4 linked regions of the Sus scrofa genome follow. The protein of the gene in region 1 binds, or shares a complex with, the protein of each later gene. Links are inferred from orthologs where the notes say so. Each region holds a gene or a part of one and is shown in the gene's direction. Other genes may lie near its edges. The genes, in order: CALCR, RAMP3, GNB1 and RAMP1.

Evidence for each region.
Region 2: the proteins of CALCR (region 1) and RAMP3 are in contact, whole or in part, in a cryo-EM structure (PDB 8F0K), measured with the Homo sapiens proteins. The link is inferred for Sus scrofa from reciprocal best matches to the Homo sapiens genes CALCR and RAMP3. Residues at the interface, in NP_001158210.1 of Homo sapiens: Arg45, Lys46, Met49, Asp50, Gln52, Tyr53, Lys54, Tyr56, Asp57, Met59, Gln60, Arg74, Thr75, Trp76, Asp77, Gly78, Asn124, Arg126, Phe235, Leu238, Ile242, Thr246, Gln257, Arg258, Trp261, Tyr262, Leu264, Leu265, Phe269, Ile276; in NP_005847.1 of Homo sapiens: Cys57, Leu59, Ile63, Tyr66, Glu67, Thr70, Tyr83, Trp84, Pro85, Gln90, Ile93, Thr94, His97, Arg98, Phe101, Ser102, Cys104, Val106, His110, Leu111, Glu112, Asp113, Pro114, Val118, Leu119, Leu122, Ile123, Pro126, Val127, Leu129.
Region 3: the proteins of CALCR (region 1) and GNB1 are in contact, whole or in part, in a cryo-EM structure (PDB 8F0K), measured with the Homo sapiens proteins. The link is inferred for Sus scrofa from reciprocal best matches to the Homo sapiens genes CALCR and GNB1. Residues at the interface, in NP_001158210.1 of Homo sapiens: Arg174, Ser175, Arg404, Gln408; in NP_001269468.1 of Homo sapiens: Thr47, Arg52, Phe292, Ala309, Gly310, His311, Asp312, Trp339.
Region 4: the proteins of CALCR (region 1) and RAMP1 are in contact, whole or in part, in a cryo-EM structure (PDB 9AUC), measured with the Homo sapiens proteins. The link is inferred for Sus scrofa from reciprocal best matches to the Homo sapiens genes CALCR and RAMP1. Residues at the interface, in NP_001158210.1 of Homo sapiens: Arg45, Lys46, Met49, Asp50, Gln52, Tyr53, Tyr56, Asp57, Met59, Gln60, Gln61, Thr75, Trp76, Asp77, Gly78, Asn124, Arg126, Phe235, Leu238, Ile242, Thr246, Val250, Ala251, Gln257, Arg258, Trp261, Tyr262, Leu265, Phe269, Ile276; in NP_005846.1 of Homo sapiens: Trp59, Ile63, Tyr66, Arg67, Ala70, Asp71, Phe83, Trp84, Pro85, Val89, Asp90, Phe93, Leu94, His97, Gly98, Phe101, Ser103, Arg109, Ala110, Val111, Arg112, Asp113, Pro114, Ile118, Leu119, Phe122, Ile123, Pro126, Ile127, Val129.

The regions. Positions count from the first base shown.
Region 1 is NC_010451.4:73,293,765-73,300,532, reverse strand, and holds part of CALCR (calcitonin receptor precursor), read left to right. Parts: intron 1-165; coding exon 166-319; intron 320-4,161; coding exon 4,162-4,222; intron 4,223-4,301; coding exon 4,302-4,368; intron 4,369-6,768. UniProt on the Homo sapiens protein: G protein-coupled receptor activated by ligand peptides amylin (IAPP), calcitonin (CT/CALCA) and calcitonin gene-related peptide type 1 (CGRP1/CALCA).
Region 2 is NC_010460.4:50,339,765-50,347,072, reverse strand, and holds the start of RAMP3 (receptor activity-modifying protein 3), read left to right. Parts: upstream 1-2,327; 5' UTR 2,328-2,353; coding exon 2,354-2,449; intron 2,450-3,923; coding exon 3,924-4,038; intron 4,039-7,308. UniProt on the Homo sapiens protein: Accessory protein that interacts with and modulates the function of G-protein coupled receptors including calcitonin gene-related peptide type 1 receptor (CALCRL), calcitonin receptor (CALCR) and G-protein coupled estrogen receptor 1 (GPER1).
Region 3 is NC_010448.4:63,875,322-63,882,089, reverse strand, and holds part of GNB1 (guanine nucleotide-binding protein G(I)/G(S)/G(T) subunit beta-1), read left to right. Parts: intron 1-1,414; coding exon 1,415-1,478; intron 1,479-2,294; coding exon 2,295-2,457; intron 2,458-6,768. UniProt on the Homo sapiens protein: Guanine nucleotide-binding proteins (G proteins) are involved as a modulator or transducer in various transmembrane signaling systems.
Region 4 is NC_010457.5:137,487,384-137,494,654, forward strand, and holds the start of RAMP1 (receptor activity-modifying protein 1 precursor), read left to right. Parts: upstream 1-3,056; 5' UTR 3,057-3,072; coding exon 3,073-3,124; intron 3,125-7,271. UniProt on the Homo sapiens protein: Accessory protein that interacts with and modulates the function of G-protein coupled receptors including calcitonin gene-related peptide type 1 receptor (CALCRL) and calcitonin receptor (CALCR). Required for the transport of CALCRL to the plasma membrane.

The DNA.
Region 1 (6,768 bases):
ATATAATCTATGCACTATAACTCTGATTGATGCCATGTGTTGACAGATGCTTGAGGAAACTGCCTTTCAGGCTGAATGCAGATACTCTGGCTCATTTTCACACACACTCTGTTGCCAAACCCTTGCCAGTGTCTTCCACTGAGTATCTCCATTTCTTTCCAACAGCCGATCTGCAAGGTTCTGCACTTCTTCCACCAGTACATGATGTCATGCAATTATTTCTGGATGCTCTGCGAGGGGGTCTATCTTCACACTCTGATCGTGGTGTCCGTGTTCGCTGAGGGACAGCGCCTGTGGTGGTATCATGTCCTGGGCTGGGGTAGGTATTTTCCACAGTTGAGTTTTGAGCCATCTTTACCTCTGTCTGTATATTTACAATCTTCTTCTAGTCTTGGTCTCAGAGAAGAGTCGGGGCCCAGGTCCTTTGAGGAGAGAGGGGCACGGCTGCTGACAGGGGTTTAGTCTCTGTGAGAACTTGGTAGAAGTGTTTGACAAGTTCATACAGACTGTGCTGAGCATGAGGGTGAGTGTAGAGGAGGGGAATGTCTTCAGGAAACAAACCCAGCTAACAGATGCGAGAGAAAACATGCCCTGATTGAGAGACCATCTGATTAGACCCTCTTCAGTTTGGTTTATCACCTGTTTCTAGAGAAAAAAGAACCTCACATTTTGAATTATGTACCTAGCCTATCCTGGCCCCACTTCCCTTCCACAAGAATGTTCCTTCCTCATAGTCCATCAGCAGGATTCCTCAGTGAAAGTTCAGGAAGTGGAGTCCAGCTAGCAATTGATATAACCACATGGGCATCCAAATGGAACCTACCTGGCATTATAGTGCATGGCAATGGCTTTGAAAAGCTTATAGTAGGATTGTTTGAAATGTGGCTACTTCTGTACCAATTGAGTAAGTTAAGGTTCTTGAGGACTGTCTAGAATGCTCCCCTTCCCCTAGGGCTGCTAAAAGAACAGCTCCCAGTGGTGGAAGGGGAGCAGATAGATTATAGGGCAATGAGATGGGGGGAAGCTCTGGGTTAAAAACACATTCTGTGAAACTTCCATCTGGAAGGAAGACCCTGAGGGCTATTCCGCACTGTCTGCAGAGCTAAGGGCTGCCCTGACTAGGCACAGACAAGGTGACTCTTGGAGTGGAGGCTGTGGATTGCCTTCAACTAAGCCTGCCCTTTAATGAAGTATTTTGGGGAGCCCCTAAAAACATTGATAAGAGAGGCAGGCTTTCTTGAGAAGGGAGCGTAATCCATAAGCTGTCTAAATACATTACCCTTTGTAGTTAAACTTCTGCCTAACAGATACTGTTACCAACTGTATAGAAATGTTTCAGGGAAGTCTTATAAGCAGCGCAAAGTCTAATCCACCGGAGGGCCCGATGAAATCTTTGTTTTCTTAACACCCCTCCCTAGTGGGAGGAGATAGATTTTAACCAAATAACGTTACCCAAACCCTGTGGGATAGTCCTTTAATGGTAGGTCAAAGGGCAGATATTTGGGTTGCCTCAAAGTTGAACTGATGATGCTGTGGCTCTTTGGTTGCAAGTAACAGAGAATAAGATACTCTAATTTAATCAGAAAAAGAAATTATCAGACTCTAAGCGTATCTCATGGAAGTCAAGAGCCAGAATGCAGCTGGGCTATTATCCTGAGGCCAGATAAGCAGGAGCTCTCTCCCTCTGTCTTCTCTCCTTTTCTCTTAGGATCTGTTTTAATCCTTCACTTTCTCTGCAGACCACAGATCACAGGGTCTCTTCTTCCCCAGTACTAATGGAAAATACAGTCTACCCAAGGCTTCCTGATTTCACATTTTTATGTTCCAGGGACACAGAGAAACTAAACTTTTGTCATTAACTCCCAGTTCTGAATAGAAGTGCATGAGGATCTGATGGGTCCATGTCAAGTCAGGAGGCCAGCCATGGTTCAATGAACTATAGCCAAGGACACTGAGGGAGATGTTGTCACACAGCGCAAACATGTCTGGGGATGGCAACACATCCAGAAAAAGATAGAAGGGAGGTCTTTGTGACCTGGACAGGCCTCTAGACTACACCCCCAAACTGCCTCATCTTGTGTGCTGCCCCCCACCCCCAAGAGCTCAGCATCCTGGGGTTTTCTTTACCACCCATTTTAACCATCCAGTAAGGCTAGAAATCAAGCTTGTAATTGTCCTGGCTATCTCACGTCAGGTGCCAGAGAAGAAGAAATTTCTGCTGGATAACATCTTGATTGTCCTTTGGAAATTGTGTTCACACCAAAACAGTATGATAGGTCCTAAATTTTAGATCCAATGCCAGGAAATAAGGTGTAATTTGTGTTTTGAAAAGAGTTTGAAAGTGGGACAGCAGGAAGTTTGACCCAAGAAAACTGTGTCCTAAGACCTGACTTTGTTTGCTGGTAATGATTTCATCCATTCATTTCAGCTGTGATGAATAGTACCCACTCCATCCTAAAGAATTATAAGAGACATTATAACCATCACCCTTTGAGTGCAGCGTTTCTGGTAGTGAACTTGTCCCCAACAGGAAATGTTTCTTTCAGTTGTCTCTTTCCTTACAAGTCTGTACCAGACCACTTACTGGTCAATTTTGCTCAAATAGAAGCAACTTCAAATACTGAAGTTTAGTTCTCAGGAAAAAAAAAATCATTTATTTTACAACCCTCTTCAGATTGATTCCTATCCTTGCTGGGTTTTCCCCTTGTTACAAATCAAAGAAGGAAATTCCCCCCATGGACTTTTATAATGAACAAATAGAATTTATCTAGTGCCCCTGAAGAAGGTTCCTAGCAGAGAGGATTATTCTTACATCTCACCCTCTTTAGTGGGAGGGAAAGGTTGTTACGGCTCTTGAAGCCTGGAGGGAGAAGAGGCAAAGGAAAGAAAAACTGCATAAAAAGAGGCATAGTGACCAGATGAAGGTGAAACAGCCCTGGGAATTAGTGGATACCAGTCTTTATTGCCCTACATTAAGTAAGACACACGTTTTCTTTTCTACCATATGATGAGGTGGAAGTAAGACAGCCATAGTGCTTCTCTTGCTGGCTAATTCTAAAATGTGTATTTCAGGATACATCAGAGAGTGAATTTCTGATTCTAAACCTGAGTGGGAAAATGGTATGTTAGAATGGCTATGAATGAAACACAATTATGTTTTGTGTACACAGTCAAATTCAAAATTCTTTCAAGTCAAACATTTAATCAATGATATGCTTCATGGGTTAAGAAGCTGAGGTTGTTCTTAGGTGAAAGCTCTGGTTGTTCTCTTTTGGCATATAATTCACAGAAAATAAAGATGTGTAGCTCTAATTCACTTCTGAGACATTTCTAAATCTGATAATTTTTAAAACCCTTTCTACAAATATCTCAACCAAATCAAACAATATTCTCCTGTGCATGGGTACATCTAAGAAAAAGATAATCTTTTTTTTTTTTTCCCCACAAAAATTACAACTTTACTTTAGATTACTTTTATAGAATGAAGATTGATTTTTAAAAGAGTCAGCCTGACAGGATGCATTGCCAGCAGCTGTCTTCATTGCTCCTTTTATAAATTCAAAGTTGTTTTTGACTGGCCCTTAAAGTTTCTTCAGGGAAGTAGATAGTGAGCTGCTTTAATAAAGGTCCTGCAGCCATTACAGAAGCTAGGGTGTGTACTAGCTACTCTGAACTGTTCTTTGTGAAAGAAAAGAGGATCAATGCACATGATAAAAATAGGAAAACAAAAATCCTAGAATACCATGAGCATCGAGTCTTTGGAGTAGTCAGACCATGGCTTTTCATAGTCAGGCCACTTCCCTCCTGGACAACTGTAGCTCCCGTCTATTCCCACACAGGAAAAAGCTCTGTGGTCTTAGTTAAACCATCATTATCATCACAGATGTAACAATGGTATTCTAATGAAGCAAGAGTGATAGTGTTCCTGCCAGATTAGATGATTTGGGAAAAAGGTTTTTGATAATCCGCATACTCTTAACCAAACTCTCTGAAAGAACATGATGTTCTAAGAGCACCTTTGATCTGGTTTGACCAAAAATGATTTGCACAAAAACATCAGAGCAATATAGACAAGATGTTAAATGTGCCACTATTCTTGAAAGTAAACTACCATTTTCCATACGGCTGTATAACTAGCTTTTCTACCTTTTCACATTGTAGGGTTCCCGCTGATTCCAACTACTGCTCATGCCATTACTAGGGCAGTGTTGTTCAATGACAAGTAAGTATTGTGGGGTGTAGTTAACATGTTTGTAAATAAATTGCAATTGTATTAATATCTTCCCTCCTCTCATTTTCAGCTGCTGGCTGAGTGTGGACACCAACCTGCTTTACATCATCCACGGCCCTGTCATGGCAGCACTGGTGGTGAGAATTGCCTTTTCAATCAACAGTGTTGTCTCTGTGGAGTTTTCTGTGAGGATGGTTCTATGTAGCATACATATTGTAACTTCAAAATGAGGATAATTTAATGATCATCTGTAATAAGAGCAATTTGATCTGAGAGTCCTTTTAAAAAATAGTTTTTATTTAATGTAATTGTGTGGAGGGAGCATAAGCCCATTTCTGTACAAGCCATACAAACAATATAGGTTTCTGGGTTGCTTTAAAAAAAAAAATTCTATAACTAAATTCTCTGATTTAAAGGTAAAGACCAAAGACAAAGATGTTGCTGATAAGAAAGTGGAGACCACAGAGTCCTCCTGCACTAAATTCCCCTGGGCTCTGGCAAACTAAACCACCTTCCATTTCACCTTTGGTCCATGAGCCATCACCATAACAACTACTAATCATGCACTTAAAGTATTTCAGGCACTTCACATACACTGCCATGCTGTTCCTAACAGCAGCCCTTCTTGTTATATCAAGATGTTTTATTCATTAGGAACACTAGACCCACAGATTCAAGTTAAGTCACTCAAAATCACATGACTAGTAAGAAGTTGGGCCAGGAGAAAACAAGACCGTCTGAATTTATATCCAAGCTCTTTATTTATACCCATGGTTTACTATATGTTGGCCACATCAGAACCATCAAATTTAATATAGACATTATTTCCTCATTAATTTCAAACCCTGTGTTTGCTTCAGATAAAGGTAAGAAAAATAAAAACGGTCAAAGGCATAGACCATATTCTGCTCCTGCACTGAAGAAGTATGCATTAGTAACTGATCACCCACACTGTCTTCTAATTTTCCTGGCCTTTGAAAGCAAATTCAATTTCTTTCAGTGCTTTTCAGAGTAGTGACGTACTTACTAAGTGTTCAAGTATGATCACAAGGACCTACTAACGTGGGTCTTGAATATTTATACAACACCCCATAAGAATTCAGTTTTCATTAAAGGTCCCTATCCTTTCTTGAATTTTTGGGGGAGCAACATTTATTTCTATTCCAGGTGGGAAAGTCATTCTAATTTTTAAATAAATAATCAATTAAATTTTTAAAACAACCTTGGTTTCAAAATTAGTCTACATAGCCAAAAGTAGTTTGTAATCCACCAGAATGGCTGATATTAAAAAGAGTAATCATACCAAGTGCTGGCAATAGTAAAGAGCAACTGGAATTCTCACAGAATGCTAGAGGGAATGTAACATGAAGCCACCTCTTTGGAAAACAGTTTGACAGTTTCATAAAAAGTTATACATATGTTACTATAGGAACAGGCAGTTCTAATCCTAGGTACTTATTCAAATGAAATGGAAACAAATGCCCACACAAAGACTTGTATCCAAGCATTCATAGCAGGTTTTTTCCTAATAGTCAAATTTTGGAAACCATTCCAATTTCCACAAACCAGAGAATGAATAAAAAAATTATATGTGTTTTTCATTTTCTGTCTTTTTTAGGGCTGCACCTGCAGCATATAGAGGTTCCCAGGCTAGGGGTCTAATTGGAGCTGTAGCCGCCGGCCTATGCCAGAGCCACAGCAACGCAGGATCCGAGCCACGTCTGCAACCCGCACCACAGCTAACGGCAACACCAGCTCCTTAACCCACTGAGCTAGGCCAGGGATGGAACCCGCAACCTCATGGTTCCTAGTCAGATTCGCTAACCACTGAACCACGACGGGAACTCCAGTGTGTTTTATTCACACAATGCAATACTACTCAGCAGTAAAAATGAATGAAATGCCAATATACATAACATGAATGAATCTCAAAGATAGTATGTTAAGCCAAAGAAACCAGACACAACAAAATACACACTATGTATTATTCCATTTCTGTGGTAATAGAAATCAGCAGTTACTTGAGGTAGGGCGAGGGAGTTGTTGACAGTAGAGGAGCAAGAAGGGACTTTCTGGGGTGATGGAAATGCTCTTTTCTTATTTGGAGTGGTTGTTACACAGGTACATACATTTTGTCTAAACTTCCCAAATGTAAACTTAAAATCTCCATTGTATTGAATGTATATTATACCTCAAATTATTTCCTTTTAAAAGTTGTTATTAAAAATGACGTCTGGGTCAGCTGTGACCACTGCATACACTTTACAGATAAATGTTTCAGTCCTCATTTTACTTTCAATTAAGTTGTCCTGGGCTAAGGAGGAAATCTTTGTAATGAAAAGACAAAGTAAGATCTTTGTCATTTATGACTTGCCTTTGTAAAAATCATTTTAAAACCTAAAGAATAAATACCTTCCTTAGAGTCAAACCTAATGTATTTACATATATAGGAAAATATTTTCTCACCTAAGAAAAAAAGTAGGGAATGTTAATTCAGGTTTGAAAGGGGTATTGGCTCTACTGATGCTCTGTGTTCC
Region 2 (7,308 bases), on another chromosome or scaffold:
CGTTTCTCTGATCGCATTTGCTCACAAGCCCTCCACTTAGAAGTGCCTTTATTTAATTATTTATTTATTTATTTATTTATTTTGGCTGCACAGGCCACATGTGGAAGCTCCCAGGCCAGGGATTGAACTTGTACCACAGCGGTGATCCAAGCTGTTGCAGTGGAGGGTTAACCGCTGAGCTACAGGAGAACTTTACTGTTGAGAGAACTTACTCTTAAAACCATTACAAGAAAGAGAAATGACCGAATAAATATAACACTGTGTCAGTCAGGGCTGGTCAGGAGAGGGAAGCTATGCAGTAATTGGCACAGGAGAGGCTGATACAGAGAACTGGGAAGGGAGACGGGACGGTCTACGTGGGGAGACAGGACACAGCTGTAGGGGCACCCGGTCAGCAGACTCCTGGGGGCCACATCTTTGGGGGAGTACATCAGGGGCCAGGTGCTGCCTTGGTGTATCATACATGTAAGTGGAACTGAGCCTCCGAATGTCACAGGTGAGAAGACCCAGGTGCAGGGGTAGCTGCCTTCTCGCTGGGTCTCAGACTCTGGGGTCCAGCTGTATAGGTGGAAAGCAGCCCCCACTCCGTGCTGCCCTCTGGGTGGCACTGACTGTCAGGTCACCGGCAGGCTAGCAACACCACTCAGGCTCATTCCTGAGGGCTTGGCTTGCTCCAGGGAGCCTGGGCCCTCCAGGAGCCACACAGGAAGTGCCTGTCTTAGGGGCTCTTGTGCCCATCCAGTGCCTGGGTTTCCCAGAGGACCTGGCACATGTCCCAGGAGCCTGCAGAGGCCCCTCCTCAATCAACATATCTGCTCTTTTTCCATCCGGTGGCCTGCGGCCAGACAGGAGTGAGGAGAGGACCCTCTAGGCCTGCTAGAGAAGATGGCGTCTGATAACCATGTCTTCCCACCTGTTCAGGTGATGGGGCTGCAAGGAGGAGTCAGATGAGGCTGCTGGGCTTTTCTGAGCCAGCTGCGGCCATCTGGGTCCTCCTCGACTCCACCTCCATCTCCACTCGTGCCACCTCTACTGTACCATCTCCGCGTCAACCACCAACTCCACCTCCACCACCATCTCCACCTTCACCACCTCCACTTCCATCACTCTGTCCATCATCTCTACCTCTGCCACCTCCACCATCTCCGCCTCCACCAGCAACTCCACCTCCACCACCATCTCCACCATGTCCACCAACTCCACCTCCACCACCATCTCCACCTTCACCACCTCCACTTCCATCACTCTGTCCATCATCTCTACCTCTGCCACCTCCACCATCTCCGCCTCCACCAGCAACTCCACCTCCACCACCATCTCCACCATGTCCACCAACTCCACCTCCACCACCATCTCCACCATGTCCACCAACTCCACTTCCACCACCATCTCCATCTCCATCATCTCTACCTCCACCAGCAACTCCACCTCTACCGCATCCACTACCATCTTCATCATCCCCACCTCTATCACCTCTGCCTCCACCGGTACCATCTCTGCCTCAATCACCAGCTCCACATCCACCTCCACCACCATTTTCACGGTCTCCACCATCTCCACCTCTGCCACTTCCAACCTGCATCTCCACCTGAACCATCTCTACCTCAACCATCACCTCCACCTCCACCACCACCTCCACTTCCATAATTTCCATCTCTATCCCGCTGTGGGCTCAGCACAGGCTCCTTTGTCCTCACCTCTGTCCTGAGAATGGGGCAGGGATGTTATTCTCTCCAGCTTCAGATGGAAAATGCTAGGCTCCTTGAGGGTCTTGTGTTTTGGATATAATGGAGCCTGGCTGGGTCTATGTCTGTGCATCTTCCCTTCTCACAAAAACCACCTGCACCAGCAGTCATTTGCTCTGTGGGGGCACAGGGGAGAGGAGCTAGAGCCTTGCTTCTCATGGACTCCTTCTAACAGGGGCAATGGGGCAGCCTGTGGGCCCTGGGAAGTTTGCTGTGGGAGACCGAGGAGCTGCATGGAGGTGGGGGTGCAGGGAATGAACCTGCAGGGACATCAGAGCCAGGATGGGGGAGGGGAGGGCATCCTGGAAAGAGGAGAAACTTTATCCAGCGCTGCCTCCCAGGGTGCTCATTCCCAAGTACTGGTGGTGTGCGGAGCACGGCCCCAGGGGGCAGACTTCAGGGTGCTGTCTGGTCTGGCCCCCTCTGATGACCCACCCTCCTGTCCCAGCCTGCTTGTGTGCAACCATCTGTGGGGTCTGGCCTCACCTCTCCTGTGGAGTGGTGTGGGCCTCCGTGATCCTGTGGCCTCCTGGGACACTGGTGACATCTGAACTTGCTCTTGGTTTGTCTCTCTTGGTGCAGGGCATCTGAGAAGGGTGGCTGGCAGGATGCACGGATGGAGCCTGCAGCCCCTGCCAGGCCTGGGTCACAGGAGGTTCTGGGTCATTCCTGCATCTGTGCTCCCCACCACCTTGGGCAGGCTGGTTGGTCAATTTTAATTAGCTTTAATTCCTCCTTGAAATAATTCTGGTTCTTAGCAGAATAAGCGCAGAAATCCCTTATTAAGTGGGCTTCCTAATGCAGGAAAGGTCAGCAGGGCTTATGCGAGGCAGCTGTTCAGCAACGCCTGCGCTAGAATCCTCCCACACCCCCGGCCTTCCAGGCCGGGTTAATTCCTGCCTCCCCCACTCAGAGAGGCGGAGGCCCTGGCCAGGTGGGGATCCCTCCTGCTCATCCCTCTGACTTGGGATGGATGCTCCGGCTAAGAGCAGTCAACCCCTGAGGGGGTCCTACCTTCCCAGCCCTGCTCCCTGAGCCCTCAGACCAGCATGTCTCTGAGCACTGCAGGGCAGAAGGGTTTCCACCCCACCAGGTGACAAAGTGCCCAGATGTCCATGGGGGCCAGGGTCTGTGCTAGGGGATGAGTGACAGAGGCGACCAAACCAGGCTACGTGACCCATGGTAGGAGAATCCTGAGTCCCTCCTCCCTCCCCTCAGAGCCCATGACACTTCTTTAGGTCAGGTCATTAGGGACACCCAGTCATGCTCCAGGCCCTCTTTTGTCCCCCGAGGCCTTCAGAAAGCACAGAGCAAGCACCAGGGCTTGAGGACCCGGGCCATGGGCAGTGGTGTGTGTGCAAGTGTAGGTGTGTGCACCTGTCTGTGCCCCATCCCCTCTGGTCCGGAGGGTGCAAAGGCTCCAGCGCAGGGAGGCCCCCAGCAAGGATTGGGGCCCACGGGAACTCTAGAGTCAGTCACGATTCACCATGAGGGTTCCTCGCGGCACACAGGGACTCCCCCACTCCCAGCTAGCTCCCTCCTCAGGGGGGCTCCCTCTCCGCACCCCCTCCCCCCTTCCCAGTCTCTCTTGTCCCCCCGCGCTGCACAGCACCCCCTCTCCAGACACCTCCCCGAGCCCTTCTGCGGGCTGGGGTAAGGGTGGGTGCACCTGCCGGATCCCGTCTGCTCCTTGCCAGGCTGCCCACCCCTCTCCGGTCCCCCTGCCCCGCCGGACGCCGAGGCCCCACAAGCGCGAACTTGGCATGGGCCTTGCCCCTGGAGCAGGAGGAGGGGGCTTGCCCCGGGGAGGGGGTGCCTCCTGGGGGAAGGACTGCCCTGTGGGGGAGGACATGTCTTGGGGGGTCAGGCGTATCCTAGGGGAGGAAGCGTCCTGCGGGGGAGCGTATCTCGGAGGAGCACGACCCGACGGAGGGCCCCTGGGAGGCTGAGGCGGGGGGAGGCGTGCATCCTCGTTGTGGGAGCGCGTCCTGGGGTGGGAGCGCGTCCTGGGGTGGGAGCGCGTCCTGGGGTGGGAGCGCGTCCTGGGGTGGGAGCCCCTCCCGGGGGCAAAGCACCTCCTGGGGGCGGGCTCTCTGCGGCCCCACCCCCCCGCCTGAGCTCCGCCTCCGGGAGCCCCTAGCGCCCCCAGCGGGGACGCAGCTGTATCGCTTGCCGCAGCTGGACTGCTCCCGCCGCAGCTGGACGGCGCGCCACAGCTGGCTAGCCATGGAGGCGACAGCGCCGCGGCGCCGGCACCTTCTTCCGCTGCTGCTGCTGCTGCTACTGCTCTGCGGTAAGAAGATGCTGGGTCGGGCACGGGGGCGCCCCAACCTCCTCGGGGGCCACGGGGACCCGCTCGGCCTTCGTCCTCCCGCACCCGCACCTGGCTGCACCTCCTCCCCTGAGCCCACCAGGGCGAGCCCCGTGCGTCCTGCTCCGGAGGGGCGAGGGGTGACTCGGGGCTCTGTCCCCAGGCTCCTCTCGAGCTGATGGCGACGGATCAGACTAGGACGGAAGGCGCGGGGTCTCCCTCGGGCTCTGCATCGCCAGTGAGCTGGGCCTGGGCCTGTTGCTCCCAGCTGCGATGTCCCCCTCGTTGCTGCCCGGGGGCTAGGGTCGCCACGGCAGCGCGACCTCCTATAGCGGGCGTGCCCATCTCTCCCCCTGTGAGGCAGTGCATTCCTTGTCCTGAGCTCGTGCGTGCGCGCCATGCACGGGGGTGTGGAGGAGAGGAATCCAGCACCGGGAGGCCTGGACCTTCCCTGCGGTGCCTGTCCGCTTCCAGGACGGTCCTTCAGTGTAAATGTGTGTGCGTGTGTCTGGCTGGAGGGGGCAGGGGGCAGCCTTCTGAGGTTTTACCTCCCAGACCCCTTCTAAGCTAGAAAACACCACTCCTGGGGGGAGGCATGGCTCACAAATAGGGAATGGATTGAATGAAAAGCTTGCTTTGCAAAATCGTTCTAAAGAAATCATCTAAGAACAAGTGACAGGGTCTGGGCGCTTGGGGAGGGCTTCCTTGGGCGAGACGAGGTGAGGCTGGGTTGCAGAGCAGGGTCTGAGCCTGGGCGGCTCTGGGAGGGGAAGCAGGTGGGTCCGGCGGGGTGGGGGTGGGGGATCCCTGGCTTGGTGGCCAGGAATCCCAGGCCCTGTCTTGGGGAGGGCACTGTCCCCTAGGTCCTTTGGGATGCTCCCTTGCCCTCACTGGCCTCTCTGACTGTAAGATGCACAACTGGGCTTGTTTGCAGTATCACTGTCAGCTTTGACCATCTGGCATTTGGAAAAGGCTGCATCAGCTCACTGACATCTTGAATTCTAGGTTACCTTTCCAGAAGGTGTCTGGGGGGAAGAAGGTGTGACTTCATTTCATATTCCGGTGTTAGAGCCCTAGGGTCAGCTGGATTTTTGGGTTGAAGGCAAGGGTGATGGGTGATTCCAGAAAGCAGGAGCACACTGAGGCAGGATCTGTGACCTTCGAATGCAAAGCCCTTGGAGGAGGAATCTTCTGATTGGTTTCGAGGGAAGCTAAGGCTGTCCTCACAGGGCAAGGACCAAGACAGAAATCTCTCTTAATAACCTCGGGCCACGTTGGCACAGTTCTGGAGGCCACCTCATCTTGTCTCCATCCCAGTATCCCCCTCCCTTGGAGCCAGGATGGGGCCAGGCCAGCTTCTCAGCAGACATCAATCCAGTGCTTGCCTGGTCAGAGTGAGGGCCCCAAGAGCTGGCTCGGAATGAGTGAGGGAGATGCAGGCAGGTCACATGCTGCTTTGTCATGGGGGAGATGGGGGCCACATCAGCCCTGGAAGCTGCTGCCTCTAGAAGGAGGATCCAGGGCTGCTGGCTGCCTATGCTCTGGATCCTGACACCCTGCTTGTCCCTGAGCTGCCTCTGGGCTGTGTAAAGTGGGGGAATCTGGTCTGGGGTAGTGTGGTCCAGCAGCAGTCTGCTCAGCTGGGCTCTGCCTCTGAGCTTCTATGTGTGTTCCCACCCAGAGCTGGAACTGAAAAGGTTTAGCTGCTCATTGCTCAAAAGTCAATGTTCTAGAGACAAGGGTTGGTGGGGTCGGGGGGAAGAGGCTTTATTCAGGAAGCTGGCAACCTAGGAAGATTGCAAACTAGCGTCCTCCCCAAACCATCTCTGAGTTGCCAATCAGAGGGCAAGAGCTTTTAAAGGAAAACTTCAAGGATATGCAGCTAGGGGGCTACGTGCAGAGCAGCACTGCTCAAAATGGAGCAGCTTATGTCATGGCTGCAGTCTGATCATCACGCAGTTAGATTTTTCCCTCTGGTGGTGGTTTTAACAGCTGCAAAACAACTCAGGAATGTGCATCACACACCGGACCTTGCTATCTATGTTCTTCAGAGAGGAACTAAAGATTCTGGAAGCACTAAATGGCTGATTTGCTCTTTGAACGGTTACCAGTCTGTAGGCTTAACTGCTATTTTTGTCATTACATGTCTACATCCTTTCAGTGATTCAATCATTAATTCTTCTTCTTTTTTTTTTTTGGCTGTGTCCGCAGCATGTGGAAATTCCCAGGCCAGGGATTGAACCTGCCCCACAGCAGTAACCTGAGCCTCTGCAGTGACACTTCTGCAGTGACACCTCCGGACCCTCACCTGCTGGGCCCCATGGGAATTCCTCATCATTCATTCTTGAGCCAGGCTATTTGTGACTCTGGGGAGGTCTCAGGAGACTAAAGCCTTCTGGGCTTTGGTACCTGAGGGGCCCCACAGGGTCCTGGTAGGTTTCAGTCCTTCCTTTTCGGTGATATCCCCCCACCTGAAGAGGCACAGGTGCGGAACATGAAAGCGAATAAAATTTTGGATTGCGAGGTTAGTCATAAACTTGGCAGTGGAGTTTGGTTTTCGTTCCATTTTTGTTTGAGCTGTTCCTGAATCTTTGCAGAAACGGGGTGACGATTGCTCTAGGTATTTCCTGCTGAAACAGGGTGTGGTCTTGCCTCAATTTGGGGTGTGGACACAGAGTTGGAAACAGTTCCCAGTTCCAAGTGTAGTATCAATATTTTGTATTATGAAAACGTTACTTCTTTCTGTATTGCTTTGTCAGAGCACCTGGACAAACATTTGAAAATTAGTAGACATATTGCAATGAAGATAGTAATGAAAATGCATCTCTGTATTTTTTCCCTTAGTGGCTAAAGCAGATGTACATTGTATGTGTAATATACAGGCTGTTTTGGTTAGCCTGAAGTTCCCATTAAATCATGTGTAAACCAGGATGACCTTTCCATACCTTTTTTGTTTGTTTGTTTTTACTTTTTAGGGCCGCACCTGCAGCATATGGAGGTTCCCAGGCTAGGGGTCGAATTGGAGCTGCAGTGGCCGGCCTACACCACAGCCATGGCCATGCCTTATCCTTAACCCACTCAGCGAGGCCAGGGATCAAACCTGCAACCTCATGATTCCTCGTCGGATTCGTTTCTGCTGTGTCCTGATGGGAACTCCCCCCATACCTTAATCTGTGAAAATTTCTTCTATCATTTCCCCCTTTTGATTGCAAATCTTTCAGTCGAAAGCATTAATGATCCCAATACTTGTCC
Region 3 (6,768 bases), on another chromosome or scaffold:
GTCTTCTCTCACCTTCTGAAGGATCAAGGGGGGCTGCTTAACACCCTCTAGCCCCTGGTCGAGTCAGCAGATATTAAGCTTTCTGCCCAGGCGATCCCGCAGAGGTGACCCTCCCAAGGATGAGCTTCTCCACGGGGCTCTGACGTGCCGCTGCAGCCACGCCGAGCAGTGCAGAGCCGCAGAGTGAGCCCGATGCGAGGCCGCAGGCACCTTCGACGTGCCGGATGTGTTTACAACCGAACCTCGACGCGAGAATCCGCGTCCAAAAGCAGCAGGATTGGAGCCTTCCTTTAGTTCTGTGACGAGTTTCAGAATAGGCCACGCTAAAGCATTTTCAGCCCTAAGCAGCCTCCGTGCTGCAAGCGGCAGAACCAAGTGGAGGAAAAGTGGGGGTTGCCAGAGAGTCAGGTGATTTTCCTCCAGGTCTCCATCGGTTCGGGACGCCAGATGTGCTCGTGGCCGAGAGGGCTGACCCTGGTGTGTGGGTGGGTGAGCTCTCCGAAGCCAGCGCTGTCTTTCTTGTTTACTGTGCTGACCCCTCTGCCTGGGGTCACGGGGAGCCTTCCTGCGGGTGCTCGCCAACCGCGGTCTGGAGAACAGAGGTTCTTGGGCTGTCCTGAGTAGCTGTGCTCTTCAGGATGTACTCCCACTTGAAATTCCTTTGCCCGTTTGTCAGGCTTTCCTTTGGCGGTTTCCTGCTTAATCCTGTAAATACGGATGGCACCTTTTCAACACACAGATCTCAAACGTAGGACCATTGACCAGAGCAAGAAAATGGCATGAGAAACACAATAGTTCCTGGTCTCTCTGGACCCGGCACAGTCGCGCTTCACTTTGTCGTCTCTGGAAAGCTTTAGGTGGAGAGGGTGCCTCCTTGCTGTTTCTAGCGGGCCTGGGTCCCAGGTTCACTTCAGTTTGGGACACTGTCCTGGGGTTGTTGTTTTGTGCATGTGTGTGAGGATTGTCGCAAGGTTTGAGTATCTGAAAACATATTAGTCCTTTTTCTTAGGCTTTCTGTGTGTCAGAATGGGACAGAAAGCTATAGACTAAGTCTTTTATACTACCATTGGCTCATGAAAGACCTCTGGGGCTCAGACCTGATTGATGGTGAAGAGAAACGGAACGGAAGCAGGTGCGGGAAGTCAGCTTGTCTTTTCTGAGCAAGCGGCCTGGGTGCTGCCAGCAGAGAAGCAGGCTTTGAATCTCACTAGGGTCAGTGGGCACATTTACTTCTAAATGCTTTCGACATTGGCCTGACAACTGTACCTTCTTTCCCTTACAACTAAGCGTGCTCTGTCTCGAGCAGCTGTCCAGGTGATGCGCGTGTCAGTCACCCCACGTTCAGTCTCCCCTTGGCTCTGCGTGGCTTCCGTGCTGCGGTGCTGACACGCGTGCTCTCGTCTCTCTCCCGCAGGCTTCTCGTCAGTGCCTCACAGGACGGGAAGCTGATCATCTGGGACAGCTACACCACCAACAAGGTAGGCCGGCCGCACCCCTGCCTGCAGAGGCAGCCCCGGGCTCGCTGCACAGGACGCGGCGGGCCCGCCAGCGCCGCTGTGGTGTCGAGTCCCAAAGGTCCTGTGGCAGCCGCACGGGGCAGGTGGAGGGAGCCTGGATTCCAGTTTTAGCTCAAGCCGGGAAGGTCTGCGTTTTAGTTGGACATACAAAACGGAGCTTTGTCTCTGGTTACCAGTGTTTCAGGAAGTAACCTGAAAGACATTTCGACGTGTAAATTAAATTCTTTAAAAGATTTAGCCCAAGATTGTATCACACTGAGTGAAAAAAGGACCGCCGTTGGTCTAAACATGTGTAACAGATACAATGCGGTGGTATCTTACTGGAGAATACCCGAGGAGATTCCAGCACTTGCAGCACCTGTCTCAAGCACAGGATCAATTACAATAACATCTAGCTCGATTACTTCAATACAAAAGACTTCATTTTGTAAGTGAATTTTGCGACAGTTTGACAGGCCCGTGAAATGTTTTCCGTTTACTCTCGAGTTTTGATTTGGAGGCTGTGCCACTCTTACTTAAGAGCCTGCCGAATTGTATGCTGTGACTTTCACAAAACGGTAGACGGAAGTGGTGCTCACTGCATTTCTGCTTCAGTTACTACGTTATCTGACTGGCCACACGTATAAATTAGTCTCAGAATAATTTTGGCCAGTTTTGCTGGGTCACCTGCTATGCGATGACAGTTGAAGACCAGCAGCAGAGTCCTAGTGTCAGCTGTGAATGACTGGGGGTGTGTGACCTTGCGCGTGCCCGCATCGTGTGTCTTCTGTCATCTAGGTCCACGCCATCCCTCTGCGCTCCTCGTGGGTCATGACGTGCGCGTATGCGCCTTCTGGGAACTACGTGGCCTGCGGTGGCCTGGATAACATCTGCTCCATTTACAATCTGAAAACTCGCGAAGGGAACGTGCGTGTGAGTCGGGAGCTGGCCGGACACACAGGTGCGTGTGCTCGTCCCCGGCCTCCAGGCTGTGGACACGGGGTGCGCGGGCATGGTCAGGCGCCTCGGGCACTCGCCTCTTCTCGCCAAGCGTTCAGTGAGATTGGTCCCAGTAACAGCCAGAAACAGTGTGAAAGAGGGAGTCCAAGGCAGGCCTCGGTGCACCTTGACCTGTGAGAAGCCTTTGAATTGAAGTGGCCGTAGCATGTGCTTTCCAAGGATCCCGGGGACTTAGGGCACCCTCGGGCGCTGGGAGCCCCGTGTCTCCCTGCTCACAAAGTGTAGTTCCCTCTGTCCTCTCGTCCTAAACCGGCTCGCATCTTGAGTCCCGTTCCACGAGAATTTCCTAACCTAAACACACGTGTACACACATGCACACATCTATCCACAAACATCCTTACTGATTTTTTTTTTTGGTCTTTTTGCCTTTTCTAGGGCCGCTCCCGCGGCATATGGAGGTTCCCAGGCTAGGGGTCGAATCGGAGCTGTAGCCGCTGGCCTTCACCAGAGCCTCAGCAGTGCAGGATCCGAGCCGCATCTGTGACCTACACCACGGCTCATGGCAGTACCGGATCCTTAACCCACTGAGCAAGGCCAGGGACCGAACCCGAAACCTCATGGTTCCTAGTCGGATTTGTTAACCACTGCACCACGACGGGAACTCGTGGTCTTTTTTTTGAAGGGCCACACCCTCAGCATATGGAGGTTCCCAGGCTAGGGGTCTCCGCCACAGCTACAGCCACAGCCATGCAGGATCCCAGCCACATCTGCGACCTACCTCACAGCTCACGGCAGTGGGGACGGGGATCTCACTGAGCGGGGACAGGGATGGAACCTGCGTCCTCATGGAGACCAGTCGGGTTCTTCCTGCTGAGCCGCGACGGAGCCTCCGTCCTTGTGATCATGTGAGACCTCCTCCCCCCAAGGACTCGGGAGAGAGCCCGGGACTGACGCCTGTGGACAGCGTCAGCTCGGCCCGGGGCTGTCATTCCACCGGGCGTCCCTGTTTAGTTACTGTCAGTCACAAAAGATGTAGGCTTTCTGAAAAAAGCAGGTCTCTGATACTTTGCTTCTGTGGCTGTGCTCTCAGTTCAGATTATTACCCCTGCTGGGCTCCTGCGCGCCGCACGCTCCCGAGGGTCATCTCGTTAGCAGTGCTTTTGGCCCCGACAGGTGGTCTCTTCAGCTCGTCTTCACCAGTGAAAGAGTCTGCCCTGGAGGTCCTGCTGCGGTGCGGCGGGATCGCTGGGACGCGGCCTTGACCACTGGCCAGCGTGGCTGCAGCTGCAGCTGCAGTGTGGGTCACGGCTGTGGCTCGGATCTGATCCCTGGCCCAGGAACTCCACGTGCTGCAAGTGTGGCCAAAAAAAGGAGGGGAAGAAAAGTCTAGGCGTTCCCGTCGCAGCTCAACGGTAACAAACCTGAGTAGTGTCCATGAGGACGTGAGTTCAGTCCCTGGCCTCGCTCAGACGGTTAAGGATCTGGCATTGCCGGGAGCTGTGGTGCAGCTCACAGATGCAGCTTGGATCCCTCGTTGCTGTGGCTCTGGTGTAGGCTGGCAGCTACAGGGCCAATTCAACCCCCAGCCCGGGAACCTCCGTATGCTGCAGGTGTGGCCCCTAAAAAAAAAATCTGTCCTTTGTCCTTTTAAAGGTAGACTGTATTTCATGACTTCTGTCTCACATTATTTCCTGCCTTCTGCTTACTCTACGGTCACTTCTTTGTAATTTTCTAGGTTTTTAGAAGGCCTTGGGCCGTCCTTCTTTTTCAGATGCATGTGCTCAAAGCTATAAATTGTCCTCCAAGTGTGGCTTTAGCCATGTTATTATCACTCAGTGTGAAACATTCCTAATCCCTTTTGGTCATTTAAGTGTTGCTTAATTTTCAGGTAGCTGAAGTTTTCATAGGTAACTTGCTACTGATTTCTAACTAAGTGCCTCCTGTTTGGAGCACGTGTCTTTAACCTACCTGGGGACTTCCTTTCGGGGGAGCAAGTGGTCCGACAGCCACAGGCCGCATGCAGGAGCCAGGCTGCCGGGCAGGTTCTCAGCGTGGTCGTCAGGATTTGCCGCTGGGGTCTTCTCTGGCTTCGTTTTATTTCTGTCAGTTGCTAAGGCGGGGCGGTTAAGGTCCCTGAGGATATGGCGTTCTCCCTTTCTCCCTCAGTTCTGGGAATCCGTGCCTCGTGTGTTTTGAGCTCTGTGAGTGCACGCGTGTGTGCGCGTTGGCTGTCGTGTCTTCCGGAGGCGCTGACCCTTTCTCCGCAGTGTGGAACCTCTGCTGGAAGCTGGCTTTACCTGATGTTCTTGTGGCCGCTGCAGCCTTCTTATGCTTAGTGCCTGCACAGTTTCCTCTTTCCCGTCTGTTTCCTTTCAGCTTAACTGTAGTTAGAAGTAGCGTCCCTTAGAGACAGCATACAGTTGGCTCCTGCTGTTTATCCATTCTCAGTGCCTCTGCCCTGCAAGTGTGTGGGTTCGTTTCTGCTCCCCACCGTGTGGGGACAGTGGGTTTAGCTCCCTCACCTGTGACGTGCTCTCCTTTCCTGCCGCCTCTCGGGTTGCCTGATGGTGTCGAAATTTAGTTTTCTCTCTTGGATTGTTTGGGTTACCTTCTGGCAGTGGTTTTTCGTGGCTTATGTGGGGATTGCCCTGTACATCCGTACCCTTCTCACGGTGCACTTGGAGGTAACATAGTATCTATTTACATAAGATGCAACCCCTGTGCTGCCGTAAATGCCCATTTTCTGCCCTTCCTCATTCTTGACGAGGTTTTCATAGCTCTTGCATCTATGTGTGTTTAAAGCTCTCACAACATACTGTTATTTTCTGAAAGCGTCTCAGCTCCTGAAGAAATGTGCCCAGGCTTTTGCACTTCCTCGGACCTCGAGCACTCCTCGTGTGCACCCTTCTCCTCCCGAAGGCACGAGCTTTCCTTTGGGGGCCCCCAGTCCTCATCGTGGCTGCACATCTGCTTGCAGTGGGCCCTCTGTCCCCTTTATCTGGAAACGTCGATTCTTCTTCTTCCTTTTTTTTTTGTCTTTTCCAGGGCCGCTCCCGTGGCCAGGCTAGGGGTGGAATCGGAGCTGTAGCCACCGGCAACGCAGGATCCGAGCGCATCTGCAACCTACAGCACAGCTCACGGCAACGCCGGATCCTTAACCCACTGAATGAGGCCAGGGATTGAACCCGCAACCTCATGGTTCCTAGTCGGATTCGTTAACCACTGTGCCACGACGGGAACTCCAACATCTAGGACTTTGGAATGGGAATCCCGGACTTGGTGAGCCGGGTGCCGGGCAGGCTCCTGAAGAAGCGGCGCTTTGTCCCGCCAGGCGGCAGCCAGGCCAGTGGCCCTGCTGTCTTGACCGAGTGCTTTAGACAGATATGTGGGCAGTCAGCTGTGTGGTTTTTAGGGCCTCCTGTGGCTTTTGCCTTTCGAGGTTTCTTCTTTCACTTTCTCGCTGTGCTTGCCCAGAGGCCTCTTTCCTGGCTCTTCAAGAAGCTGGGGCCACAGGCCTGACTTGTGAGTGTGGCCCTGTGGTGGCCGGTTGCCACAGGTGGGCCCTGCCCCAGAAAAAGACCCCCCCAGTGCCTTTCTTGGCTTCCGCGTACAGGCTTCTTTCAGGCTGTCTGCTTCCAGCGCTTTGGCACTTGGCCTCCCGTTGGTGCCCAGCTCGTGGTTGTTGCTGTGAGAAGGTTGCTTCCCGGGGCAGGACGTGCTGCCCCCTGTGGGAACCCAGCCAGGAGCCGACCTCATGACCCCGGGGGCTTCAGGAACCACCGAATGTAGCATCAGCGAATTATTTACCACCAGAGACTGTGTATGGGCTTCCTTTTTTTTTTTTTTTTTTTTTTTTTTTTGTCTTTCTGCCTTTTCTAGGGCCCCTTCCGCAGCATATGAAAGTTCCCAGGCTAGGGGTCTAATTGGAGCTGTGGCCGCCGGCTTACACCACAGCCCTAGCAACGAGGGATCCGAGCCGCATTTGCAACCCAAACCACAGCTCACGGCAACGCCCGATCCTTAACCCACTGAGTGAAGCCAGGGACCGAACCCGCAACCTTATAGTTCCTAGTTGGATCCGTTAACCGCTGAGCCACGACGGGAACTCTTGGGCTTCCATTTTTAATTGAAATTTTTAAAATTTTACTTCCTTCACATATCAGGAGATTTAACTTCTTGGGAGTTGAGAGGTGGTGTTTTTGTTAAACATGTGGCCTAGCAGAACTATTTGTGCCTTTCTTTGGATATGGCACGTGATTTTTAGCTTCAGGTCAGCAAGAGGTCAAATATGATCTGCTCGCAGTAGCCTCAC
Region 4 (7,271 bases), on another chromosome or scaffold:
TCTTGCTTTTAAGCTTTGTTAGGTGGCCCCAGGACAGCCTGTACCACTTTTCACAACTGCAAAGGCAGTGACTCTCTCTGCTGTTCTGCGTATCTCAAGGTTTTGCCACTACGGCTGGTGGAGCTGGAGCTTTTCCAGCCCCCGGTGAGCATCTAGGGAGTCTTCCAACCTGCTCCTTGCCAGGGGGTGTTCTTCCTGCCTCGGGCCGTGTCCTCCTGTGCCCGTGGTGACCAGTGTTGAGCTAAGACTCAAAGGGGACCCTTCTGCGGCTTTTCTCTGCACAGCTCTTCCTCTCAGGTACCCCGCAGCCCTGCCGTTCTCGCTGCCTGGCTTCCCCGTCTCTGTCTCCCCAGCTCTGGGAGCCCTTGGGCTCTGTTTGGGTTCTCCTCCCTCCCTGGGTCTGGAAGCTGCAGGCGGCGAGCAGCTGTCAGGGTCACCTCACTTCCCTCCCCGATCTTAGGGGTCCTGCCCTCACGGCCTCTGGCCCAGTGTGACCACTGCTGTTTCCTCTGTTTTGTCCAGTAGTTTGGTGTCTGGGGAGAGGGTACATCCACTCCCTCTGACTTTGTCGTGGCTGGAAGCGGAAGTCTTAGGTTAAGTTTGAATTTTGACCAGGTCACAATTCAGTGTTGGTCAGGTCTTGTTGACCTGTCTGGACTGTGTCTTTAACCCGACTCTGCATGCAGTAAAGCACGTGGCCCTTTTCTCCCCTTTTCCAGAGTTTAGCCTAGCATCCAACTGGATGGAGGCGCCCAGGGAGAGGGATGCGTTTGCATGCTACCAGCTGGAAATACAAATTCATTGGACAGAATCTAGCCAGGGCAAAACGGTCAACTCAGGTTATGTGTCGTGGCTGTAAGGACATGTGATAATGGGTCTGTCTCTCTTTCTCCCTTTGCAGAAGGGAAAACCCATAGTAATTACTGGGGCCTCTCTCATCCAGACCCAAGGCGCAGATAGGAAAACCACTGGGGGAGAGGGTGCATGCTGTGGACACCAACTCTGGCGTCCCCAAGAGAAGTGTGAACTTCCGAAGTCTGTGAACTTGAGAAATAGGCTTTTTGCTCCGTCTGCATATCTGTTAGGTGTGTGTGCGGAGCTAGAAGGCAGAGGACTTCTGCTGCCCAAGCCCTGCCTCCTGCTGCCCTTGAGCCTCGAAGAGAGAATGTTGCAAACAGTGGTGCAGGTGTAGGAGTCCCGTGCCCTGAGCAGTAAGAGGGGGCTCAGCTATAAGAAGACGCGGAGAGGCCCACACGCCAAGGCTGGAAAGGGTGGCTCCAAGGGGCCAGTGGAGGCTGGGTCTGAGAGGAGCAGAGATGCCTGCCCTCCCCCTCACTGGTGCCCAGGTGGCAGTGGACCTGTCCTGGGGTTGGGCTGGGGCCCCACTCATCTCCCCCAGCCGTGCCTTTCCCACCTGGCATGGTCCCCGGTCACTGGCCCTTTACTCTGGCCTGCTGCGCTCCCATGCTCTCTTCCCACCCAGCCCTCAAGACGTCCTGCGCTGCAGCTCAGCTGCGTACCAGGCCCCTGCGTGTGACTGAGACCTTCGCAGGTTCTTCACTAGATGCACCAGCCGCAGGGCGAGACCTGCGTCCTTTACCTGGCACAGCTTTGCACATGGCCGGGACTCAAATGTCTCTTAATATTTAAGTGAGGGAGGCCGGGCCACCCATGGGGGTGTATCTTCCTAAGGTTCAGCAAGAGGGGCCACTCAAGAGAGCCTGTGCCCCCTCCCATCTGACACAGACCCCTCTGGCCACCTGGGAGTCTGAGTCAGATGCCACTCAGGTTGTAGGCCTGCCAGCCTTGAGCGCCCTCCCTCCTGTTCTCTGAGCTGACAGCAGGTGGCCCTCTTCCCCCTCGTTTAGCAGGGAACGGCTGACCACGGAATCCAGAATCCGGCACTAGGCACCCTGCTGAGTCCAAGTGATGTGACCATGGCTGTCGGGGTAGCGACCTCCTCCTCCAAAGGCAGCGCCTGATTGCTTAGCATGAGCATAGATGTACCAGTGGTTCAGCATTCTCCCTGGAATAGGCTGGTTGTAGGTCTCAGACTCGGCCCAGGTCTGGCCTGTTGCTGTGGCTGTGGTGCAGGCCGGCGGCTACAGCTCTGATTTAGTCCTTAGCCTGGGAACTTCCATATGTGGCAGGTGTGGCCCTAAAATAAAAATCAAAAAACAAAAACAGAAGGCAGTACTGCAAGGCCAAACCCAGCCACTAGTAGAGCTTAGAGAGCCCAGGTCAGCTTGGCTCCCGGGCTGACGCCTCCCGAGTTTATGCCTCAGGTCCGACCCAGGCTGGGGAGGCCTGCTTAGGCTTCCCAGGGCCCTGGTGCGTGCGTCCCCCCAGGGAGCCCCGAGTCAGAACGACATCCAAGGCTCTCCCAGCCTCCTGCCTCTCACCACCCATCACCCTACGCAGGAGGTCCCCCAAAGAGCCCTCCGCCCTCCAGCCCCAGGAGCTTCGCTGTGCACCTTCCAGGCACCTCCGCCGCTGCGCCCACACCCACCCTCATCCTCGGGCTCCTCACTGGCCCTGCGGCCTTTGAACACCGTGAGCCCCTGCGAGCGCCGGGGCTGGTTTTGTCCTCTCAGGACCCCAGGACCTGCACGTCGGGAGAAGCAGAGGGGCAAGGGTGGCCTCGGCCTTTTGCCAAGCAGGCCCCCGCGGCCGGAGTGGGCTCTTGGACCTAAGGAGAGGGGGATGCTGCCCGGGCTGACAGCGAGAGGCCGGGTCTGGGAGACCCGCCGCTTCCGGAGCATCCACTCGTCGCTTCCCGGGGGGGGGGAAGGGTCCCGGAGACGCCACGCGCAGCCCCCTCGTCGCCGCGCTGTCAGGGCTCCTCGCCGAGGGTCGGGCCGCCTCCAGGCCTCGGCCCCCGCCCCCGCGCCCCGCCGGCAGGTGCGGGCGCGCCTGGCTTCCCCGCGGTCCGCGCTCCCTGCCGCTCCCGCCCCGCCCCGCCCCGCCCCCGCCCCCGCGGGGCCGCCGCCTCCTGCCGCCGCCCGGCGGGCTCAGTCCTCGGCGGGGCGCGCGGCGGGCGGACTGGGCGGACTGGGCTCGGCTGCGCGCGCCATGGCCCGGGGCCTGCGCGGCCTCCCGCGGCGCGGCCTCTGGCTGCTGCTGGGTGAGTAGCGGGGTCCCCGCCGCCCCGGGGCCGCGGGCGGGGGCCGGGCGGGCGCCTCCCCGGGGCCAAGGGGCAGCCGAGGAGGCACCGCGGGATCGGGGTTCTGCGGGGCGCCGGCCGCTTCCCCGCCCCGCACGCCGGGGGCGCAGGCTCTGAGCCTGGGGGCAGGCACCTTGCAGATTCAGGATGTCGCCTTCGGCACCACGGGCCGTTTATCTAGAAGGTTATAGCTAAAACTGAACCTCTGACTGTCACATGCAGACGTTGCTGATGTGCAAATAAGCCCCCTTTGCAGGTGTCCTTTGCAAAAGGAGGCCAGCTGTCCTCTTCGGGGACATTTGGACAGCTTTTGCTTGTTTGCTTGCTTGTCAACTGGCGCTTCTGGCTACTCGAAATTCAAGGAGGGACTCTCGGTGGGGTAGCAGGACGTGCTGGGCTTTCTGCTTTGAGGCAGATCATAGACGGAAACCCAGTAGTGACAGGAACGGGTCCCGCCTTAGAAAAATTAGAGAAATTGTCATCTTCACTTCCCTGTCCTCGGTGTTTTCATAAAGAGCTAATCAGCCTTCCTAAACTGCTTTAACTATCGGTTGAATTTCATGTATTTACTTACCTTTTAATAAAAGTGAAAGAGGTTATTTAAAGTGGAAGAATCCAGGGGCCCTGGGAAGCCCCCCCCACCCCAGGCATTGGTGGCACTTGGGTCCTTGCTTCAGAGCAGGTGATGGTGGCCAGAAGCACCTGCTGCACGGGTCCCCTGGGTGCAGGGGGGCCACCACACTTGGAGCTGCAGGAGAAGTGGCTCAAGGGGCCTGTGGCCTGTCTGGGAAGAGAGGGGCTGCGGATGGGATGCCTGGGAGCCCTGCAATTCCCGTCTCGACCGGGAGTGTTGTTGGCTCTGCAGAAACCCGTAGCATCTGCCTCAATAGCCTATAATCGGAACGCTGTTTTGGCTAACGCTGTGTGAAAAGCACAATCTTAGAATAATATTATTCTGTTCTTTTGCATTGGGAATCTATGGGCTTGACGTGAAACTTATTGTTTTAGTTTCCTAAGACGTGAACATTTCTATTTGCAAGTTGGAGGGCTGGGTTGGGTCATTTTTAAACATAAATAAATAAATGCCCTTCCCTGATGTCCAGGAGCTGCACCCTCCGTAGCTTGTCTAAATAAAACCCTGTATCATAAGCGCATATAAAAACCTTCCTTGTTGACCAAGAAAATGGCAACATGTTCGGTGGAAGTTCAGAGTCCTGTGATCTTACCAGTATTCTGAGAGGTCTGGCTAAGTTCTGTCTTGGAAACATAAACTTTATGAGGTTATCAGTGAAGTAGTGTCGTTCGAGCCCAGCAGTAATTAGGATTTCAAGAGCACACAGTTTTCTTTCCGAGGGTTGGCATTAACCAAATCTCCTTGGTGATGAAGATTTTGCTGCCCAGAGGAGCAAGGTGGAATTTCTTGTTTTTCAGCAACCAGAAAAAAAGCGGCATTTCCAGAGGATCCAGGGCTAGTCTCTGAGAACCTCATTGTAAGCTTCTGTTTTTATGAGCCCGCCTGCACTCAGGAGTCCTGGCTGAGCCCGTCTTATAGGAACTCAGCTGGCATCTTTCCTGGCATGAAGGGGAGAGGGACGTTTCTTTGCAAGGCTACTGCATTTATTGAAATACATGGCTTTATATAAATACAGGGTTAACTTTTTGGAACCGACTGGGACATGGCAAGAAATGCAACAGATGCAACTCTCTTTTGGATTGTCATGCCGTTTTAAGTCTAGAGGCAGTTCGAATCCTGGAGTCCACATCTGAAGGATTCTCCTTTGCTAATCAGCTCGGTGTGTTCCTCTACCCTCTTTCTGTGTATTTAGCTGCAGGGAGACATTTCCGGATTATCTTCCTTGCACAGGTGCCTGCCCGTCAGCCCCAGGCCAGGGTTGTTTACGTCCGCATCGGAAGTGGTGGCAGCAACATGTCAAGCTGGACTCCTTCCTTTCTAAGGCAAATAGCCAGCTGGGAAAGTCTGTTCCTCCTGATTTTCTTCCCCCAGAATGAAGCGGCGCCCCAGCTTCTACTCATTTAGAAGTGGTGTCAGCAGAGGGGTGTGGGCGCCCCGTGTGGCATAAATCCCAGCAGAGATGCTGAGCCCCCAGTGGTGGAGCCCTGAGAGATTGGCAGCCAGCATCCCTCTCCTTGGGGCACAGAGCCTTCCTTTCCTGGTCCACCTGGCAGGTGGGCTCCCGCCTCTGTGCGCCCTGGCCCAGGCCTGCCTGCTCAGGGCAGGGCGGGAACCCAGGCTGGGCCGGCTGCTTTCTGCTGGAGCCTTGGGGGGAAGCCAACTCTTTCCTCTCAGCCGGCTGGATCTGAGTGTTGGGCTGCCAGATCCCATCCTGTGCCCCCGGGCTGAGTTCTCCTGACGCTTCCCAGCGCTTGGGTTGACCCCAAGAGGTGGACCTTTCAACCCTGTGACCCTGTGGTGTCTGAACCAGGTGTGTCTCTTTGCAGGACAGTGCCTGGTGGGGGGCAGATCTGGTGCCAGTGGGAACCTGCCCAAGAGCCTCTTTTGCTCCTGGGGACTCAGGGAAGACCTGGGGCGGGAGGTGCTGCGGCCGCTGGGAAGGGAGAGGAGCGGAGACGGGCCGGGGCGGCGGCTGTGGCCTCCTGCACCTGTGCTGGCCCTGGGCCCACCTTGCTGTCCAGCGTGCTCCTGGCTGATGGAGACGGACGCGAAGCGAATGGGTCCTGCCCTCCCCACACATGGACACACACGGACACACAAGCACGGAGCCCCCGGAGGGATGTCCCCCCCCCCCCCCCGCCTGCCCCGCCGTGCCTCTCCCCCCCAGGATGCTGGCCTTGGGCTGGGGACGTTTCTAGAGAACTCGTTTGTTCTTAGCCAGGAGGCTCCCAACCTCAACAAGAACTTATCCTTTGTAATATAAGGACGTTCTTGTCCACGGGGAAACTTTTTCCTCCTCAGATTGCTTGAGTTTAGTGTTTTCTCTGACATCCAAAGACACCGCTTCAGTCCCCCGTTGGAACACAGACTCTAAGCAGCTTCGTTGGTGCCGAGTCCACGGCCGGGCAGCGGGGGAGCGAGGGGCCCTGGGTCTGAGCATCACACCGCAGCCAGGCCTTCCCTGCTTGCCCCTCATCAGGCCTCGCGGCATCTCCTTTGTGTCCCCAGTGGCCACACCCGCCCTCCCAGGTGGCACTCCTGCCCACGCTTCTGTGGGACTGGAGACCAGAGAGCCCAGCCGAACCCCCCTCCACCAGCCCACGGCCACTCTGCCCTCTGCCTGCGGTCCTGGTGCCCAGGCCCCGTGCAGGCAGCACCCCCTACAAGCCCTCCGGATAACTACATGGCCTCCAGGAAGCCGTTTGGGACCCCCCCCCCAGCCACCTCCCCCGGGGCAGGTCACCCTCCTCTGTGCCCCTCATCCCTCCACACGGGCAGTGCCACCCTGTGTGCCTCGGTTGCACCCAGGCCAGCACACCTCGAGGCCCCTCCCGTGGGCATCTCCTGCCTTCGCTGAGGCTTTGCTGGAAACCAAGGGGCCCAGGAGCAGAGGGACCCAGGCCAGCGCCCCGCTGTGCTCCCCAGGGCTCTGCGCCCCCACACCCAAGGGGCGCACGGGGGAGGGCTCTGAGCCAGGCCTCACCTGGGGGCAAGGGACAGCAATTTACCCAGCAAACGATGGATGTAACGCCTGCCACGGTGGCACGTACTCTGGCCAGTTAGCGACTGGAACGAAAGCAGTTCATGTGTCACATAGCAAACCCCACGTTATGGGAAGAGGCGTGAAAGGCATAGTCAGTGAGCAGAAACCTGGTGACGCCCCAGGTTGGTGCTCTCTGCTGGTGCCTTCAATGCATCTAGAAGATTCCATGGATGCGTTTGTGAGAGGAGGGCTGGCGGCAGGCTGGCTGGATGAGCAGATACGGGAGCACTGGGGAAGCGCTCACTCTTTCTCCCTGATACATAGCACGAGTGGGTCTTGTGGCCCTGGAATCGGGGTTCTAGAAGGTAGAGTCCAGGGGTGCTGCCCACACCTGCTGCTGGAGGCTGCCCCGTGCAGCCCCCACGCGATAAGGGTCCAGCACAAACCGCCCATGGAGCCAAGGCTGAGGAGCCCGCCCCGGGGGAGCCACA